Linked DNA regions of Sus scrofa. The protein of the gene in region 3 interacts with the protein of the main gene of each other region in a biochemical or structural test. Links are inferred from orthologs where the notes say so. Each region holds a gene or a part of one and is shown on either strand. Other genes may lie near its edges.

Evidence for each region.
Region 1: of the proteins of TRIM21 (region 3) and USP4, one has a biochemical effect on the other in vitro, tested with the Homo sapiens proteins (2 studies listed by BioGRID). The link is inferred for Sus scrofa from reciprocal best matches to the Homo sapiens genes TRIM21 and USP4.
Region 2: the proteins of TRIM21 (region 3) and SQSTM1 form a complex in vitro, tested with the Homo sapiens proteins (2 studies listed by BioGRID, with this or other methods). The link is inferred for Sus scrofa from reciprocal best matches to the Homo sapiens genes TRIM21 and SQSTM1.
Region 4: the proteins of TRIM21 (region 3) and ubiquitin-conjugating enzyme E2 N-like form a complex in vitro, tested with the Homo sapiens proteins (3 studies listed by BioGRID, with this or other methods). The link is inferred for Sus scrofa from reciprocal best matches to the Homo sapiens genes TRIM21 and UBE2N.
Region 5: of the proteins of TRIM21 (region 3) and IKBKB, one has a biochemical effect on the other in vitro, tested with the Homo sapiens proteins (2 studies listed by BioGRID). The link is inferred for Sus scrofa from reciprocal best matches to the Homo sapiens genes TRIM21 and IKBKB.

The regions. Positions count from the first base shown.
Region 1 is NC_010455.5:31,866,368-31,869,879, forward strand, and holds part of USP4 (ubiquitin carboxyl-terminal hydrolase 4), read right to left. Parts: intron 2,973-3,512; coding exon 2,889-2,972; intron 1,949-2,888; coding exon 1,854-1,948; intron 305-1,853; coding exon of another isoform or gene 235-304; exon of another isoform or gene 208-234; intron 1-207.
Region 2 is NC_010444.4:78,761,188-78,765,289, forward strand, and holds the start of SQSTM1 (sequestosome-1), read right to left. Parts: upstream 2,812-4,102; coding exon 2,493-2,811; intron 383-2,492; coding exon 287-382; intron 1-286. UniProt on the Homo sapiens protein: Molecular adapter required for selective macroautophagy (aggrephagy) by acting as a bridge between polyubiquitinated proteins and autophagosomes.
Region 3 is NC_010451.4:5,780,880-5,784,936, reverse strand, and holds the start of TRIM21 (E3 ubiquitin-protein ligase TRIM21), read right to left. Parts: upstream 2,805-4,057; 5' UTR 2,658-2,804; intron 2,631-2,657; exon of another isoform or gene 2,424-2,630; intron 1,662-2,423; 5' UTR 1,616-1,661; coding exon 1,208-1,615; intron 705-1,207; coding exon 609-704; intron 1-608. UniProt on the Homo sapiens protein: E3 ubiquitin-protein ligase whose activity is dependent on E2 enzymes, UBE2D1, UBE2D2, UBE2E1 and UBE2E2.
Region 4 is NC_010443.5:26,024,314-26,028,614, reverse strand, and holds the start of ubiquitin-conjugating enzyme E2 N-like, read right to left. Parts: upstream 2,808-4,301; 5' UTR 2,436-2,807; intron 1-2,435. UniProt on the Homo sapiens protein: The UBE2V1-UBE2N and UBE2V2-UBE2N heterodimers catalyze the synthesis of non-canonical 'Lys-63'-linked polyubiquitin chains. This type of polyubiquitination does not lead to protein degradation by the proteasome.
Region 5 is NC_010459.5:11,331,832-11,335,343, forward strand, and holds part of IKBKB (inhibitor of nuclear factor kappa-B kinase subunit beta), read left to right. Parts: intron 1-173; coding exon 174-288; intron 289-1,694; coding exon 1,695-1,818; intron 1,819-2,355; coding exon 2,356-2,507; intron 2,508-2,928; coding exon 2,929-2,990; intron 2,991-3,512.

The DNA.
Region 1 (3,512 bases), on a different chromosome or scaffold from region 3:
AAAAAGGCATTCTCATTTATAAGGATGTATACCTAGAATATAAGCCAAAAACTCTTTATTTTAAATGAGGAAGCAAATTTATAAAACTGTTTGCCATCTTCGTTCAAAAACATTGAAGTAAAAGAATCATATTTAATTTTTAAAAAAATCATAGATAACCAAAGAATTTCTAAATACAAATCAATGATTTTGAAAAATATGTCTTACTTAGTGAATACATGGGATTGAGGAGATTTATAGATGTTTTATCCTGGAACAGATGTTACCAAAATTGCTGGCAACCGACTGTAGTCTTTCCCTCTTCCTATAGGGGGAGACACAAACTTACTGATTCAATTTTTGAAAACTATAAACACAAATACAAACACAACCCTCCCCAGTTGCCTGGCAAACAGTTCTGACTGTAGTATGTGCATGAGGAGTTCAAAGAAAATCTCACAAAAATGTCCAAGGTGTGCTCGAGATTAAGAACGCTGGAGTCCAGCATAAAGGTCAAGAACCAAGCCTTGGAGTGAGGCTGACCCAGGTTCTAGGCCCATACTGCCACTTTCTGGCTACTGTGACCAAGCCAAGTGCCCTAACTTCTGTTTACCTAGTGGACAATGGGATCACCCTCCGTAGAGTGTAGTGGTGAAAATTAAATAACTCAGAGCACAGTACATCACATGCTCAAGAAGTATTAGATGCAACAATTGTGTTTTCATAAGACAATTATCAATGCATCACGTAACAATTTGCTTTCCTACTGCTTATCCCTCAAGCCCTGTGAAAAATCTGTTCTCAGTGGCTTGCCATGCTCCCAAAAAGATGATGCCCCAGTTCTTCTCAGCTCAGGTATACGTGAACATTAGTTTCCAGAATTGAGGAAGACTGTGTTAAGGATTTGGGGGTCAGAAGTGGATAGGCTCAGCCCTGAAGTCTAGTCCGAGCCTGAGTCTAGTTTGTAAAGTGAGGGAGTATGGCTGGGAATGGGGAGGCAGCCGATGCATTGGTTAATAGAACCAGGATCTTGGATGTGGTCAAGAACTGTATCTTTTAGAGTGACCTAGATGTCACAGGTCCCAAAAACATAAAGGGAAGGAAATGATTCCTTTGTGTCCTGCATTACTCAGCCAAAACTAAAAACCAAAACAAAATCCTAATAACCTTTCTCAGCAGAGACAAGTTTCTGAGTGAGAGGGAATGAAGGAGAGACAGTGTGGGGTGGTCCATATGCAAGCTTCCCTGAACAAGCGGCTGTGTGGGAGCTCGAGCAAGCTCACACTCCACCCTACCCCGCCTGGGAGAGGGACACACACACAATCACACAAAGCAGCCCTGAAGTAAGAACTGGAGAACACCAGCTAGAGTTGGAGTACACTGTCTGCACAGGGATGAGAAAACCAAGTGTCAAAAGACTGCAGATATGAGAGCTTAAATCAACCTTCCCTGTCATTCTGAGATGGCACCTGCCTGAGGAGCCCCTGCCTATAGCTTAGAGAAAGGATGAGACCCTCCCTGTACCACAGCCCTTTTCCTGTCTTCCCACGGCCCCTCCCAAAGCTGTGATTCTTCTTGAGCAAAGCATTTCTGACAGCAGGACTATCTGCAGGACCACTGAATAGGCCTTCTTAACATGTAACAACTGTTGACAAAAGCCTTGTTCCAGCTGAAGAGTGTTATCTGGAATGTCTAGTTCTGAAATGCCGGTAGGTAATGCTGCCCACAATTCCCTGAACACTCATCTCTTGCACCCAAGGGTTGGAGCAAATCCACATGAGCATCAACTGCCAGATATGCTCTGGAGACACCAACACAGCAAAGACTCTAAAACGTTTCTTTTGACCCTGCAGCAGAAACCACTGAGTACTCACACAAAAATATCATCCCGAGGCATGATGTGGTTTAAACCTTCATCCATTTGGAAAATTTTGTGGAACCGGTGATTATACACATCTGTGACCACCATCTAAAAATCAACAGTAACAGAAAGGTGACGGGATTGATTAGAGAACATCTACTTAATACTTAGGCACGAAAGAAAAAAAAAATGTGCTGCTGAAGTGTTGCCTCCAGAGAGATGGCAATACAACCAGCCCAGAGTTCAGGGGCCAAGGTCCAAGGTGGGAGCAGCATGGCTGCCTCCAGCATCAAACATGCTAGTACATTGATCCCAAGGTTTTGGGGTTTACTTTGTCTTTTTAATTTTTTAATTACAGTTGATTATGTCCCAAGGTTTATGATGGGAATTGCCCTCAAGGGGCAGGAATGATGGGGAATAAGTGCTGACCAGAGACTAGTAGTCATCTAGAAGCCTTTAGGGTATTCCCAGGGGGCAAAAGTCCTCAAGACATCCTCAGCACACAGCAGAAAAGACCAAACTCCAACCACCAAGACCTACCAACTGAAACTAGCAGGGGTACAAGGGGAGTGGGGAGAAGGGCATTCATTGATCAGGGCTGGGGGAATCCAGGAGGATCGGTTCTCATGTAAAGGGAAATCTTCACTTTTCCCACCTCCACACAGGGCCAGGCTCAGGAGATAGGCCAGAATAAGCAATTGTTTTTAAAGAAACATTTCTATTAAGTCACTCCACAGACTTACGGAGTTTGAGTCAGAAAAGAACTTCCGGCTTCTCACATTACAAATGATGTCAGGTATAAAGGGGAGGCAATGTGAGAGCAGAGCCCCACTCCTGGCCCTCTGACCAATGGTTAATGTGTTCTCAGTTCCCAGGGCTGGAAGGGACAGTCTCAGCCACAGTGTGCACAATGAACGAGAGCCAGAAAGTCTGGGGCATCCAAATATAATCACTACCCTCCAATAAGTGGCTAAAAGGTTGAAAATTAATTTCAAAGGACTATGAAGTGCTCCCAATAGGTTGAGTGCCACTCAATACCCCGCCTTACGTTTTCTGCAGCAACGCCAGACAACCTGGAGAGAGCCTCGCACAGATCAGATACAGCACCCATTAGCGGCACAATTACGCGGTACTGCAAAGGAAAAATGGGAGGGGTGACAAGGGTGCTCTGCAAAAGGTAGGAAATGAGCTGGAAGGAGCAGGTATCATGGAGGGCAGAGGTGTCCCTCCAGAAACAGTGTATGGTGAGATCCAGATGAGTAGCCAGCAAGTCTTCTGCATCAACACTGCCTTTCTACTTAGGCATCACCACAGAAGCTAGGCTATCTTAAAGCCTTTCACTACTACCTTTAAAGAAATGCTAAAATTATTAAAATTATACAGATTGCCAACGTCCTTGTTATCTTTCTTTAGAGATAAAAGAAAATAAAGCCAGAAGACTAAGCATACAATAAACCATCAACGGGGCTGGACACTAAAACTGGTTGGTCATACCTTTTGTTCTGGCCAAGCTCTCCAGGCTGATTTAGGAAGAAACCTGATCAAGCAAAGCACTCTGTTCCTAGTTTCCTAACATTCAAAGATATCTTAGCAGATCAGCCAGGTTCCTTAGTCAAATGAACGGAACATAGAGAAAAAGGGACAGAGAAGCCCAGAGGACATTCACATTATG
Region 2 (4,102 bases), on a different chromosome or scaffold from region 3:
CCTGGGACCTGGGCATGTGCAGCCTGGCCGGCGTGAGGCAGCAGGGAGTTGCGTCTGCACCATTTTAGACTTGTCCGGCACTAAAATCAACCCCAAAGCTGGCCCGCAGGCACAATAAAGAGGGAACCCAAAGACCCTCTGACCTCCCCACCATGGTGGACACGGACCCTTCCTCAGAGACGATCCCGGCCCTGCCTTAAACGGCCCATAGTCTCCTCACCCCTTCTTTGGAGCAACTTCTCCATGACCTCAAGCTGGTTTGACTCAGCACAGAGCAGCCCCTTACCTTTAATGTAAATACGGAAGATGTCATCCTTCACATACGACATCGCCATCGTCAGTTCCTCGTCACTGGAAAAGGCAACCAAGTCCCCGTCCTCATCTAGAATGTTTAAAAGACAGCGCATCAACACCCAGTTGGACACAAGCTGCTGAAAGGACTGAGGCCAGTGCCAAAGGGGCCTGTGCAGGGCTATAAACTGACGCCCACCTGGGTGAGCCAGGGGCAAGCAGGGCTGGGGCCGAACTTCTCATTCACCCTGCCACTGCCTGGAAGGTGAGCACTCCAAGCTGGGCCCAGGCACACTTGGGAGGTGGAGTGCCTGTGTGCAGTGGGCAGCAGTGGTAGCACCCAGCCACCTGCCACTCTGCCTCTGGGCCAGCTGCTCTGTCAGAAAGGTGCTGTCTCCATCTACATCCAACCAGACCCTGTCAACTGTGGGAGGTCCCCATCTGCAACTGGCTCCTTGGCGTTCCAGCCCCTCCAAAATTCTTGGACCTCTTGTGGCTTAGGAAAGTAGAATATATCTTCCTGCTTCCTCCCCAACGAAGCTAAAATTATGTCTTTGTATGAAGCCTCCAACTTTTAGATGTCAGCTGAAATGATTTAAAGCACCACCACACAGAACCAACCACACAATACATGTGCAAGCCAGGTCAGGTCTATGGACCACCAAACACAACATCTACCATAAAATCAGGGACTGTGTCAAAAAGCAGAAATAGGGAGTTCCCGTTGTGGCTCAGCAGAAATAAACCCGACTAGTATCCATGAGGATGTGGGTTCAATCCCTGGCCTCGCTCAGTGGGTTAAGGATCTGGCGTTGCCATGAGCTGTGGTGTAAGTGGCAGACACAGCTCAGATCTGGTGTTGCTGTGGCTGTGGCGTAGGCCGGCAGCTGCAGCTCTGATTCAACCCTCAGCCTGGGAACTTCCATATGCCTCCGGTGTGACCCTAAAGACAAAAAAAAAAAAAAAAAAAAAAGGCAGAAACAACCTAAACACCCATCAGCTAATGAATGGCTAAACAAGATGTGGCATGACCATAAGACAATATTATTCATCCACAAAAAGGAATTAAGTACTGATACATACTACAACATAAGTAAACCTTGAAAATAGTATGTAAATAAGAGATGCCAGTTACAAGACTACATATTTTTACATGAAATGTCCAGAATAGGGGAATCCATAGAGATTAGGGGTCGCTTGGGGATTGGAGGATAGGATGATGGGGATGGGAGGAAGCTAACAGAGTTGGTGTATAAAGTGATGAAAATGTTCCCAGATGATTGTGATAATGGCTGCGCAAATCTGTGAATATACTAAAAACTCAACACTTTAAACTACAGTATGTGAACAGGAACTCAAAGTTATTTTTTTGAAAAAGCTAGGGGCTGGCGAGCTGGCAGCAGTCCTGAGGGAGGTCCCGGCACGGCCCCACCCACCGGCGGGCCTGGTCCGCCCGCCTCCCTCCCAGTCACAACAACCTCCCCCAACTCCACCCCGCGCAGCCACCGGTCACGCCAGCTCAGCTAGAAACTAGGCAGGCTCGTGAGCTCTGTCCCTACACCAACACTTCTCGAGAATGTTTTCACCTTGTCCCTCTGTCCGCTGCCAACGGGATAACGTCTGGATCCCGCCTGGCCTTGGGCAACCTATGGTCTCTCCTCCCCACCTCCGGCCAGACTGTGCAGCCCTGAGGGCTCCCCACTGCTTATTTACCCTCGTCACTTTTCTGCGTAGCCAGCCCTTCCCCCTCATCTGCCCGCCCAGGCTCTTCCGGGTTACTATCCGAACCCCCCATCTGGGGCTAGCGGGCCCCAGCTGGGCAGTAGCCAAGTGGCAGTGTAACCCGAGTGCCCCTCTAACCACCCCGTGCCCGCCGTGAGGACGCCCCCGCGCGCCCTCCCCAAGATCTGCACCATCATGGTGGGGGGAGGGGAGGCCTCTTACGTCGCCGGGCCCGATCCGCTAGGGGACTGGCAGCGCCTGACCCCACAGGTCTGGCTGTGGTCACCACTCCTGGCTACCAGAATGGCACCCAAGGCCGAAATGGGAACCCACGCGGGCCACCGCCCACCCAACGAGCGATCAAACTCCCGCAGGCGGCCCCAAGCCCCACGAGAAGGAAGGGAGCAGCGACCCTGCCCGGCAGGGCAGCACTGCGTCACGGCCCCGCACCGCTCCCCGAGAGCGCCCGGCCTGCTCACCGCGGTAGTGCGCCTGGAAGCCGCCGGGCCGTAGCACGGGGAACAGGGCGGCCACCCGGCTCAACAGCCGCTCGCAAGGTCCGGGGCCAGCCGCGGCCTCGGCTTCCGCCTCGGGCTCCGGGCTGAAACAGAAGCTGAAGCGGCGAATCTCGCGGGCCGCATCCTCCTTGCCCAGAAGGTAGGCCTTCACGGTGAGCGACGCCATGACCACCAGTTGGGGAGCAAGAGAAGAGCCCGGCGGTGGTAGCGGCGGCGGCGGCGGCAGCGGGAGGGGACGCGCGGCCTTTGTAGGGAACGCGGGTGAAGCCCCGCCCCTCATCGCTTCCTGGGGGCGGGGCCTGAGTGTCAGAGGTCTGGCTCCAGCCACCCCGGCCGTCGCGCGAGAGCCGCCCTACAGGAGCCCCAGCCTCGCTACCTCTCCCCGCCGTTGAGCCCCCTCATTCCCGACCCCTCTCCTCACCGCCCCAAGTGCACCAGGGACACCAAGAGGCCGGCCCCGCACGCTGACATCTAAGTCTGGCGCCTACCTCTATACCTGGGGCAAGGGACCGGCCAGGGTCCCGCCCTAGACCCCTCCCAGGCCTGACCAGGCCGTGACTCAGCAAAACGGAACCCAGGCCACCGGGGATGCACAGCTCAGGAGGGAGGTGGGCAACAGAGGCTGGAAGCCAGGAAGAGGGGACACTGCTGACACTGCTAGCTACAACAAATTGGCTCCCGAGGCGCTGTCTTGACCTTGCCACTCTTGTCAAGGGCCCGCTCTTGCCACCAGTTTCTCAGGTGGCAGCCCACTACGCCGCCCCCAGCATCCCCCCTAATGGCCCTTTACTGGGTTAAAGCACAGACACTCAACTCAAACCTGAGCACCAGAGGAGCTTCCAGTTTAATAGGGGGTAGGGTTGAGAGATGCCAGAAGAGCACAGGATCTTCCCATCCCCACCTTGCTGGGGGGTCTGCTAAGGCTTCCTGGAGCCTCAGTGGCCACCAAATGTTCACTGAAGCCCTAAGGACTCCCCATCGGTACTCCCCATCCATCCCCACTTGTCAGCTCAAGGTTCAGCTCAGCAAATGGTGCCCAATGGCCTGAAAGATCTCAGGTCTGTTGGCCTCATGGGCAGCCCAGGGATTACATCAACAGCCCCCACCCTACCCCACCCCCAGGAGCCAAGAAACACTCTTTTATGTAACCGAAGTGACCTGTTCAAAGTGCCTAGGGGAAGGGGGTTGTTGGGGGAGGAGGTGCCTTAGAAGAAGGTAAGCAGGCGGGTATGTCACCCTATGAATCCTCCCAAGTAGGGCTCTGTAGGTAGAAAGTCAGACCTGCTGAGTCACACTCACTTTTTTCATGGTGGGGTTTGTGGAAGTCAGTAAAACTTAAAGGGATGGGAGTTCCCATCGTGGCTCAGCGGAAACAAATCTGACTAGCATCATGAGGACGCAGGTTTGATCCCTGGCCTTGCTCAGTGGGTTAACAATCTGGTGTTGCCCTGAGCTATGGTGTAAATTGCAGACTAGCCTCAGATCCTGGGTTGCTGCGGCTGTGGTGGAGGCCAGCGGCTACGGCTCTGATTCGACCCCTAGCTTGGGAATCTCCATATGCCTCAGGTGCA
Region 3 (4,057 bases):
ACGTGATGACACGAGATGACCTCTCTTGCCGCCACAGCCTGACTCACCCTTCCCGGGTCCATGAGCTCCTCCCACTGTCTCTAGTTCCTGACCCACTGCTGCCCAAGCCCTGGAGCAGAACAGGCCGTAGCTCCCGCGACACCTTGCACCAGGAACAGCACGCCGTCAAGAAACCCCTGGTCAGGCTGGTTTTCCTCCCTCAGGCCTTGATGGCTCCTTAAGTCTGTCCTCAGAGCCCTTGTCATGTCCCGACAGGCCGAGCCACCGGGCATTCCTTCCTGGGACTCCTCTGTTGCAGACACGGGCCCTGTGCTGTCATCGCCTGAGACCGGGCTCCAGGAACAGGAGCTTTGGGGTCCGTCTTGTCCCCGTGCATTCTCCCCAAGACCCCCTGTCTTTGCGTCTGACTGGAGTGCCCGCCTTTTGGGCACCGTGCTTTCCTGCTCCCTTCTCTCAGGAGACCCAGGGCACGGCTGGTTTTTGGAGACTGACACATGGGGACTCCCAGTCTCCTGACGGGCATAGCTATGCACAGAGCTCTCGAGGCCAGGACCCTGGACCCTCCCCAGGCTTCTGATCTAAAGTGCCCTTCAGGACGTGCCCCTTGCCTTCCAGGCTGCTCTCTTCGTTGCAATATCCGCTTCCAGCTTCTCAGCCTGCTCCTGTTTATTTCTGAGTTTCTCGAGTGCCACCTGGAGCTTCTCCTGCAGAGAAAGACAGCGGGTAATGCCCAGTCAGACCAAAAAGTAGGGTGGGGGGGCACAAGGTCCAGGAGGATCCTACTGGTCCTTAGAAAAGCCTGAGGCGGGGAGGAGGAAGGGTGAGCCTCTGACCGGGGTGGGCATTCTGTGATGGGAAGACTCTGGAAAAAGCCTGATGTTTCTTAGGAAATAGAGGTACCCTGTTGGCGTGGTGGGGGTGGGGACACATTCGTTCCTAATTAACCAGGAGGCCACACAGAAGCATGGGCCTTGCAGCCTTTTCCCACAACAGACGCCCTGCTCCTGGGCAGTGGGAAAATCGTGCCGAGATGGTGGGTCTTCCCTTAAATAGGACATAGAAGGCAGGGGATCCCCTTCCTGTCCCCAACCCCTCAACTCCACAGGTGACTCGGTCCCACCCCCAGCCCGGGAGAACAAAGCGCTTATCAGGGCCCCACCTTCTTCCCGCCTGCTCGTGCCCAGGTGCCTCCGGGCTAAGGCCTCACCTGGTACTCCTGAGCCGCCTCCTCAATGGGGACCATGGTGTGGTCCCGGTGTTTCCGGGACTGGGAACACACCCAGCAAAGGACCTTCCCATCGTCCTTACAGAACAGGTGAAGCTTCTCTCCGTGCACCGCACACAGCTCCCACTGCGGGCCTTCCTTGACCCCCTGGCTCATCTCTTTGAGGTTATCCACCATGTTGGCCACCTGCCGATTGGGCCGGAGGTTCCTGAGCAGGAAGTGCTGCCGGCACACAGGACAGACGCTGCCCCCATCCTTCCCAACCTCGGAGATGCATTCCTGGCAGAAGCTGTGGCCACATTCGATGCTCACGGGCTCCACCATGGGATCCAGGCAGATGGAGCACGTGACCTCATCCCACATCCTTGCCAAGGGCAGTGCTGAGGCCATGGTGCTGCCGGGCTATGAAGCAGCGCTGAGGAGATCTCGGGGTGGCCTAGCGGGGAGGGGAGAAAAGGAAAGAAGGCGATGAGAAGAGCTGTGTGAGGAAAACAGAACAATTCAAAGGAGACCTCGAGGGAGCGTGAACTGGAGGGGCTGAAAACAAAGGTAACAACGACGTCAACCTGAGTCACAAGGGCTTCTCCTCCGGAGTCTGGTCCAATGAGCCAGTCAGACAGAAGGGGAAACTGAGTCCTCAAAAGAGATAGCAAAAATTGCTGGGAATCTGAGATCAAGCTGCTTACAGTTCCACTTTCATGTCTATCTCTGCTGAAACCCTCGGCGCCCAGGCTTACTCGTCCATCTTCCATCTCCAGCCACTGGTCCTCTTGCTCTGCTGAGAAGCTAATCCTAATAGCAGCGACCACTTACCATGCCCCTTCCCCCGTGCCGGGAGGCACATACTTCACATTCCTCCTCATTAATCCCTGAAACTTGGCAGGAAGGAGCTATCTATCACCCACAATATGAACATATAAATAAGTATATATATACACACACATCTGCACGTGCACATATTTATCCATATGTGCAGGTGTACATACCTATGTGTGTACACACACACAGACACACCCACACACCCACACATGTCTAAAGAGCACTCCCCCACCTGTTCCCTCAGCTTCCTGAAGCAGGCACCTGTCTTTGTTTCCTCCAGGGCACAGACCCCAAAACTTCTAATACCCTAAGCAACCCTGCCCCTGTCGTTTCCAGAGGGGACTTTTGTGGATGGGCGTCTCGGGGATGGCAGGCCTACCCCGCCCTGGGCTCCGGAGGACTTGGAAGTCGGTTCACAGCCCAGCCTCCTCCCGGGCGGACGGCAGCACGGGGAAAACCGCCGGTTAGGGTCGAGGGAACCCTGCGCCCAAGAGGGCTCTGGGGCAGCAGAGAGCTCGGCTGCAAGGGGCTCTTCAGATCCGGGGCAGCGGAGAGCGGTCCCCCGGGGAGGCCTGGGGTACCCGGGTCTAACCGAGTTCGTGAATCCACTCACCTTTTCAAGGGACTCCGCAGATAATAGCTGGCTCCAAGTTTCACTTTCGATTTCCCGCATTTCCCGTCGAGCGCAAGTCTGAAAGGAAGGGGAGGGAAGGGGCGGAGGCGGAAGGCGGGAGGCGGGCGCGTTGAGCTTCGGCCAGTGTCAGCGCCCCGGGGCTAGGATGGCTCAGAGGCTCCGCAGCATCCAGTCCTTGCTTTGCGCTCCTTTCCAAGTCTCTCTGTCTAGTGGCCTCAAGTAGTGTGACTGCTCCGTGGAGAGGCTGCTCTCTTTGACTCGGGTGCTTAGCCCCAGCCTCCGTACCGTGCCACCCAGAGCTGCCTTAAGGAGTTTGGGGTGACCGAAGGAGCTCGGGGGAGCTCTCCCACAAAGGCCACCGTCTCTAGGGAGTTCCCTTCATGGCTCAGTGGTTAACCAACCCGACTAGGATCCATGAGGATGTGGGTTCCATCCCTGGCCTCGCTCAGTGCGTTAAGGATCTGACCTTTCGGTGAGCGGTGGTGTAGGTTTCAGGCGCCGCTGGGATCTGGTGTGGCTGTGGCTGTGGTTGAAGGCCGTCCCCTGTAGCTCTTATTTGATCCCTAGCCTGGGAACCTCCATATGCCACAAGTGTGTTCCTGAAAAGCAAAAAAAAAAAAAAAAAAAAAAAAAAGGCCAGTTTCTCTCTCCTACTTCAGGAAAAAATTCTTTTTAGGAGATGCGGTAATTAACATTGGGGAGAGAGGGATTTTTTTCCTGCATTTCTCCAAGGTGGGTATCACACCAGGGAGTGGGACGAAGGGGCCTGACATTTATTGAGCACCAACTGTAAACTTCTCACTGAGCTAGGGGTTTTCTCAGGTTTATTATTATCAATTTTAAAATTTGCAGCAAAATACACATAGCATTCACCATCTTAGCCATTTGTAAGTGTCTAGTTGCGTGGCATTAAATGCATTCACATTATTGTATGACCGTCACACTATCCACACACAGAACTTTGATCTTGCGAAACGTGAACTCTGCCCCCATTAAACAATAGTTTCCCATTCCTCCCTCCCCTCAGCCCCTGGCAACCACCATTCTGTTCTCTGTCTCTGTGAGTTTGACGTTTTCGGTGCCTTACGTAAGTGGCATCCTACCGTATTTGTCCCTTTGTGACTGGTGTATTTCACATAACCTGAGATCCTCAAGGTTCATCCACCGGAGCCGGTGACAGGACTGCCTTCCTTTTAAGGCTGAGCGATATTCCAGCGTCTGAGTATTCATTTTGATTATCCGGTTATCTGTCGACGGATGCTTGGGGTGGGTGGCTTCCGCCTACTGGTTAGGGTTAGGGTTAATACTGCTGTGTCAGGTTGTTTGCTTTAAGCCACGCAGCGACTTAGCAGTTGAGTTATTGTCACAGGAGAGGACAC
Region 4 (4,301 bases), on a different chromosome or scaffold from region 3:
AAAATGAAAAGAAAAAAGTGATGACTCTTTTTAAACCTTTTTTGACATGGACATTTTTATGCTACACACACAACGTGGTACAGGTTTAGAAAAAGAACAAAGTAAGCCAAAATCGGATACATTCCTTTTTAAATGTAATCTGAAGGGAGTAATAGAAATGTCTTTGAAGGCTGAAGCAAAATGTAACCTACTTGAGTGAAAAATCAATAAGCTATCTTTCAGGAAAATTGTACTCAACAATTGTCTAATGGTCTTTTAAAGGAAGTAAATAAACAAATGGAAATGAGGAGTTTAGGAGACAGCCGCCTTATTTTTTTTAATCCTAACAATCTAGTTCTGTGTGAGACTTTTTTTTTTTTTTGCCCCACTGCCATTTCTTCCTCTTCCTTTGCTATCAGAACCCTGATTTGATTCTGGGATCCTGGGGCCACCTGTGAAAGGCAGACCAGATCCTGAAGCCAAGGCAAGCATCATGATAGGTAATCATGGTAATCTCAATTCCTTCACCAGGGCCTGATTTGGTCCTTGAGACTTAAGGGGAGATTTACATAGGAGGAGGGCCTTGGTCTAAAAATAGACTGCCCCACATTCAAAATAAATTCAAGGAAGGAATTATTCTTTGTTTTTTTTGGATGTTGTGAGTCTGCATGTGATGCCCAGGGCTACTACAGCCATCTTGCCACCATGAGGCAAGACATCAGGCAGGACTAATATTGAGGATAGTAGAATGAAAGATGGAAAACATCTGGGCTGATGACATTTTCAAATAACAATAGCCCTGCAATTCTCTCTATTTTAATGAGATAATACCTTTCCTACTGTTGAAAGCCTTTTAAGCCATGCTTGTTACTCATAGATAAAAGCATCTCAATGGCCACAACTTCAGAGCCTAATAAGGAAATGCATTGCCATGTTTAAAAATGTTCTGATAAACTGACTTAAAATAAGTAGTCAGTTCTGGGATTCATTGAAGATATTATCAGTGATGTAACTAAGGAAACATTTTCTCTTTTGGAACCAAATTGAAGCAGTGAAGAAAATAAACCATTAACTAGGAACTGCCAAACAACAGTCCCTAGGCCAAATCCCACTTGCAGACTGTTATCGTAAATCCTGTAAGACAAAACCAATCTGTACTTTTTTTTTTTGTTCTTCCTAGGGCTGCGCTCGCAGCATATGGAGGTTCCCAGGCTAGGGGTTGAATCAGAGCTACAGCTGCTGGTTTACACCACAGCCACAGCAATGTCAGATCTGTGCCGTGTCTGAGACCTACACCACAGCTCATGGCAACGCCGAATCCTTAACCCACAGAGCAAGGCCAGGGATCCTCATGGATCCTAGTCAGGTTTGTTAACTGCCAAGTCACAACGGGAACTCCTATATTTTTTAATAGTTGAAAAAAAACATCAAATGAATAAGAATATTTCATGACACATGAAAAGTATATGAATTAGAATTTTGGTCTCTAGAAAGGAAGTTGTTAGAGCATAGCCATGCCCATTTGCCTGTGGCGGCTACATGAGAGCTGAGTAATTACAGTAGAGAATATATGATCTTCAAATGATCTTCAAAGCCTAAAATATTTACTCTCCGCTCCTTAAAGAAAAGTTTTGCTGACCATTGCTACAGACCAATGGACTTACCTCAAATTGCATGGTAGAATTACTCAAGGAACTTTCAGAAATACTGATACCAGGACCCATCTAGACCAATTAAATAGAAATAGAGCCAGTGAATCTATTACAAAGGCAAGGCTGAAAGCCATTTCTCTACGTAATGTGAGTGCATACAATACAAGTGAGCTTCAACCTGGACAGATTTAATAGGTTTAGAGAAAACGAAATAAATCTAGCTTCGAACCATCATTTATAACCCCAAATTCTCTGCCATCAGCCTAAGTTTCACCTGTCACCAATTCAATTCACAAAGCACAAAGCGGTGTTTGCAACCAGAATGTTAGAAACAACAGTGTAAACAGTACATCCTTGTTTAAATGTTGACCCAACTGGCACACATGGGTGGTACTGGTTGTTAGCACTCCAAGACAGAGTGGGAGTGGAATTGAAGAAAAACAAACAGAGGAAAGAACTAGACTGTTAACAGCTAAAAAGTATTTGGGGAAACAATTATAGCCCAAAAGGATTAACGGAAGGGAATAATATAGCAACAATGACCAGAATGTAGACGTTTTCACTAAATTCTACACTGGATCAGAAAATATCACTCAGGTATCATTTTATAAAAAGGAAAAGGGGTGCAGTTCCTGGTCTGGCCTGGAAGGAGCTTGAAAGTCATTCCTCCATTCTAAAAACAAGAAAAAGCCGAACAAACTGAAAAATCACCCACTCTTAAATCCATGAGAGAACGAAGGTCTCAGGGCAAATCTCGGGCCCTCACATTAGAGAGACAGGGAGACACAGAAAATCACAACTTACCAGAGCGGAAACCCACAAGCAGAAACCTCCTCAGGAACCAGTGCCGCAGTCAGGAAAGCTGAACTGTATTTGACAGGTGGCTGGAGCCGCAGAGTAGACAAATCGGAGAATTAAATATTCCAGAGGAATCCACACTTTGTGAGCTTTGCCTCTAGGAGCCCTACTAGACTCTCACAGTGGAGATCTGAGAGGAAAATCTTCTTGTGTTTCCTGAAGAAGGAGCCGAAGAGGAACCACCTTGAAATGTGCCAGAGCACTCACTTCTTAACAAGGTCCGCCTGCAGGAGAAGCTATTTTCTAGGGCCTAACCTGCTGGGATTTTATCTGTGCCTAACTGACCTAGGGGAAGGGAAATGCCCAGCCCCAGCTGGCTCTATTCTTACACTGGGGAAGCGAAATACGCAACTCCTGCTCCTCTAGGCATCTTGTTCCAATTAAGGGGGGGGAGTGGGGCAAAAAAAAAAAAAAACCCACAACAACAGAGAAGCACGTGTGACGTTCACAGCCCAGCAGCACAGGCTCATCAAAAGACTGACACCTAATCATAAAACTATAAAACATTTTCCCTTCCCCCACACCTAACCACCACATCATTAAAGGCCTATTTACTGCAGTTCCTTTTACTCAGTACAAGTCCATCTTTCAAGAAAAACTTGTAAGGCATACTAAAAGGCAAAAGACAGACACCATTTGAAGAGCCAGAGCAATGTTCAATCCCTGGCCCAGGAACATCCACATGCTGTAGGTGTGACCAAATGCATGCATATATAAATAAAGACATACGTAAATTAAAAATAAAGGCATGGAGAAAGATATGCCATGCTAACACCAGTCAAAAAAATTCAGGAGTAACTCTACTAATTTTAGACAGAGCAGACTTCAGAGCAATAAAAGTTATCAGAGATATAGAGGAGCATTACATAATAATAAAGTGGAATAGATTCAGATATGGCAAGAATGTTGTTAGAATTATTACACCAGGAATGTAAAATAAATATGATGAATATGCAAAGGGCTAATGGAAAAAATAGACAACATGCAAGAACAGATGGGCAATGTCTGCAGAGAGATGGAAATTCTTAGAAAGTACCAAAAAGAAATGCTGGAACCAAAACACTGTAACAGAAATAAAAAAATGCATTTGATGGGCTAATCAGTAGGCTGGACACAGCTGAGGAAAGAATTTCTGAGCTTAAGGAAATGTTAATAGAAACTTCCAAAACAGAGATGCAAAGAGGGAAAAAAAAAATGGAAAAAAAACCCAAAAGATAATATCTAAGAACTGTGAGACAACTATAAAAAAGTGTTACATATGTATAATGGGAATACCAGGAAGAGAAAGTAATAGGAGAAATATTTGAAGCAATAAGGACAGCAATTTTCTTTAAATTAATGTAAAATGCTAATGTCAGAGACATCAATCATGAATAGTTCCAAAAAACACTACACCTAGGCATATCATATTCAAACTACAGAAGATCAAAAATAAAGAAAAATCTCGAAAGAAGCCAGAGGAGAGGAAAAAAGCCTTACTTATAGTAGAGCAAAGATGAAAATTACATGCAACTTCTCAGAAACCATGGAAGTGGAGCAGAGTGAAATTTAAAGTGTTCAGAAGGGGAAAAAAAATCAACCTGAATTCTGTACCCTACAAAATTATTCTTCAAAAGTGAAAGATAAATTTAGACTTTCTCATACAAACAAAAACTGAGAGAATTTGTTTCCAAAAGACATACCTTGAAAGAAATGTTCAAAGAGATTCTTCAGAGAGAAGGAAAATGATACAGGTCAGAAACCTGAATAAGAAACGAAGAGGGGAGTTCCCGTTGTGGCTCAGTGGTTAACGAATCCGACTGGGAACCATGA
Region 5 (3,512 bases), on a different chromosome or scaffold from region 3:
GCGTGTAAAGGAGCAGCGGAAGGGGGTTGAGTCCGAAGTCAGTAAGAAGGCTTTGTGGGTGCCGCGCTGGCTGAGGGCGATGCCGGTGGGCCACTCTGGAGCCTGTCCCCTGGCCCCTGGGAAAAGGAGGAGATGGGTCCCCAAGAGCCCCTTTTGCTCTTGTCCCTCTGCAGCTGAACGAGGGCCGCACCCTGGACATGGATCTCGTCTTCCTCTTTGACAACAGCAGAGTCACCTATGACACCCAGATCTCCCCACGGCCCCAGCCCGAAAGCGTCAGCTGCATCCGTAAGAATGGCATGGCCTTTGAAAAAAATAGTCACTTAGAGTGCTTGAGATAAGCCCTGGACCTCGGGACTCCCCCACGCCAGAAGATGGGAGTTCCCATTGTGGTGCAGCAGAAATGAATCCAACTAGTATCCATGAGGATATGGGTATGATCCCTGGCCTCACTCAGTGGGTCAGGGATCCAGAAGGCCTTCTTTGTTAGAACACATGAGGAGGTGGCCCAGCGAAGAGGAAAGGACATCGATCTTCAGTTGATTTCAGCCTCATTTAAACAGAGGACAGGGAGTTCCTGTCATGGCTCAGTGGTTAACGAATCCGACTAGAACCAGGAGGTTGCAGATTTGATCCCTGCCCTTGCTCAGTGGGTTAACGATCCGGCATTGCTGTGAGCTGTGGTGTAGGTCGCAGACGAGGCTCGGATCCTGCGTTGCTGTGGCTCTGGCGTAGGCCGGTGGCTACAGCTCCGATTAGACCCCTAGCCTGGGAACCTCCATATGCCACAGGAGCGGCCCTAGAAGAGGCAAAAAGACAAAACAAAAAACAAAACAAAACAAAAAAACAGAGGACAGAGAATACTGCCCACAGGCCGCTGAACTTGAATCACGTGGCCATTTTTTTAATTTGTTTTTTTTTCTTTTTAGGGCCGCACCCACTGCATGTGGACTTCCCAGGCTAGGGGTCTAATCGGAGCAGCAGCTGCTGGCCTACGCCAGAGCCACAGCAACCCGGAATCCACGCCATGTCTGAGACCTATGCCACAGCTCATGGCAGTTCTGGATCCCTGACCCACTGAGCGAGGCCAGGGATCATACCCATATCCTCATGGATACTAGTTGGATTCATTTCTGCTGCGCCACAATGGGAACTCCCATTTTATATTTTAATGATGAAACATTCACGTGATACCAACAAATCAAAACGCACAGAACATACAGTGAGAGTTCCTGCTGTGGTGCCATGGGTTAAAGATTTGGCTTGTCTTTGTGAAGACACAGGTTCAATCCTAGCCCGGGCGTTGCTGCAGCTGTGATTTAGGTCAGCTCCCACTCAGATTCGACCCCTGGCCTGGGGATTTCATATGCCAAAAAAGAAAAAAAAAGAATATACACTGAACAGTAAGCCCCCCCACCTCCTGCCCAGTCTCCCCAGTTCCGTGGCCTCTTCCAGGAAAACCGCTGCTCCCAGATTCCTGGTCTACCTTCCGCATGTCCTGTGCATCTGTAAATCAAAATGGCACAGGGCACAGGGTGTCTGAGACAGTAACCAAGCCTAATACCCGACACAGTCGTGTCAGGGCAGAGCGGTTACATAACCTAGCGATGTAGACGTGGCAGTGGCCGGGCTCCGCAGGCAGGATGCGGTGTGTCACCGGCATGGCTCCCTGACAGTCATGTGTCTCTGTCCAGTGCAAGAGCCCAAGCGGAACCTCCCGTTTTTCCAGCTGAGGAAGGTGTGGGGCCAGGTCTGGCACAGCATCCAGGCCCTGAAGGAAGACTGCAGCCGCCTGCAGCAGGGACAGCGTGCTGCCATGTACGTGCCCACGGTTTGGGCTTTGCTTATTCAGAGCTGCCTGGTGGCCCTGCCACAGGGCAATGGCCAAGGCAGGGGTCCAACTGTTGGGAGAGAGACATAGGGTGGGGGAGGTGGGAAGGGGTTGGCCCGGCGAGGGTCAGGGGGATGCTTGAGGAAGGCCCTGTGAGACCCAGTGGGGTGTGTGCACTCAGCACAGTCGCAGGAGTGTAAGTGGGGCCACCGGGAAGCCCTCGACAGTTTGGGTCATCAGCCCTCCCCTGCCGTCGTTCCAGGACTGGCTCGCTCTTTCCCCAGGATGTGGCTTCTCTGGGCCACTCTGTGTGTACTTTGCCTAGTTCCAGTTTTGAAGCAGAACCCCAGGCGTTGCTCAGAGCCAGGAAACTGACTTTATGGTTATAAGTGGCTGCTCTTATTATAATGATGCTAATTATAGCAGAGCCTGCTGGTGGTGTTCGGGTCATTTTGTTATTGTACGGGAAGTGGCGCTCAGATCCCACAGGCGCCCCAAGCTTCCGTTTCTCATGGCCGCTGCAGGATGAATCTGCTTCGGAACAACAGCTGCCTGTCCAAGATGAAGAACTCCATGGCCTCCATGTCCCAGCAGCTCAAGGCCAAGCTTGATTTCTTCAAAACCAGCATCCAGATTGACCTGGAGAAGTACAGCGAGCAGACAGAGTTTGGGATCAGTGAGTGTGCCCTTTACAATAAGTCTGGAGGGGAGTTCCTGTTGTGGCACAGTGGAAACAAAAGTGACTGCTATCCATGAGGACGAGGGTTCGATCCCTGGCCTCGCTCAGTGGGTTAAGGATCCAGTGTTGCCGTGAGTTCTTGAGCAAGTCATAGACGCAGCTAGGATCCCACACTGCTGTGGCTGTGGCCTAGGCTGGTAGCTATAGAGCTCATTCGACCACTAGCCTGGGAACTTCCATGTGCCTCAGGTATGGCCCTAAAAAAAAAAAAAAAGTCTGGAGGGACAGTCTCTTTCTTTTTTCTTTTTCTGAGGTTTCTTTTGTCCTCTCCTATTTGAGTTGCTTATCTCTGTTTTGGATTGTGGGGGTGGGGGTGTTTTCATTTTGTTTTTCATTTTTCCCTCCTTTTTTCCCCCAGCATCGGACAAACTGCTGCTGGCCTGGAGGGAGATGGAACAGGCCGTGGAGCTCTGCGGACGGGTAGGCAGGGCCCCCAGGTCCGAGGCCCTGCCCAGGGTACCAGGCTCTTCACTGCCATCTTCCTCTTTCTCACTGAACCCTGGGTCGAGCTTGCATATCAGAAATTAGCTTTTCCAGAGTTCCCAGTGTGGCTCAGTGGTAACCAACCTGACTAGTATCCATGAGGACTCAGGTTCGATCCCTGGCTCTGCTCAGTGGGTTAAGAATCCAGAGTTAGGAGTTCCCGTCGTGGTGCAGTGGTTAACGAATCCGACTAGGAACCATGAGGTTGCAGGTTCGGTCCCTGCCCTTGCTCAGTGGGTTGACAATCCGGCGTTGCCGTGAGCTGTGGTGTGGGTCGCAGACACGGCTTGGATCCCGCATTGCTGTGGCTCTGGCTAGGCTGGCGGCTACAGCTCCGATTAGACCCCTAGCCTGGGAACCTCCATATGCCGCAGGAGCGGCCCAAGAAATAGCAAAAAGACAAAAAAAAAAAAAAAAGAAATCCAGAGTTGCTGTGAGCTGTGGTGTAGGTCACAGACA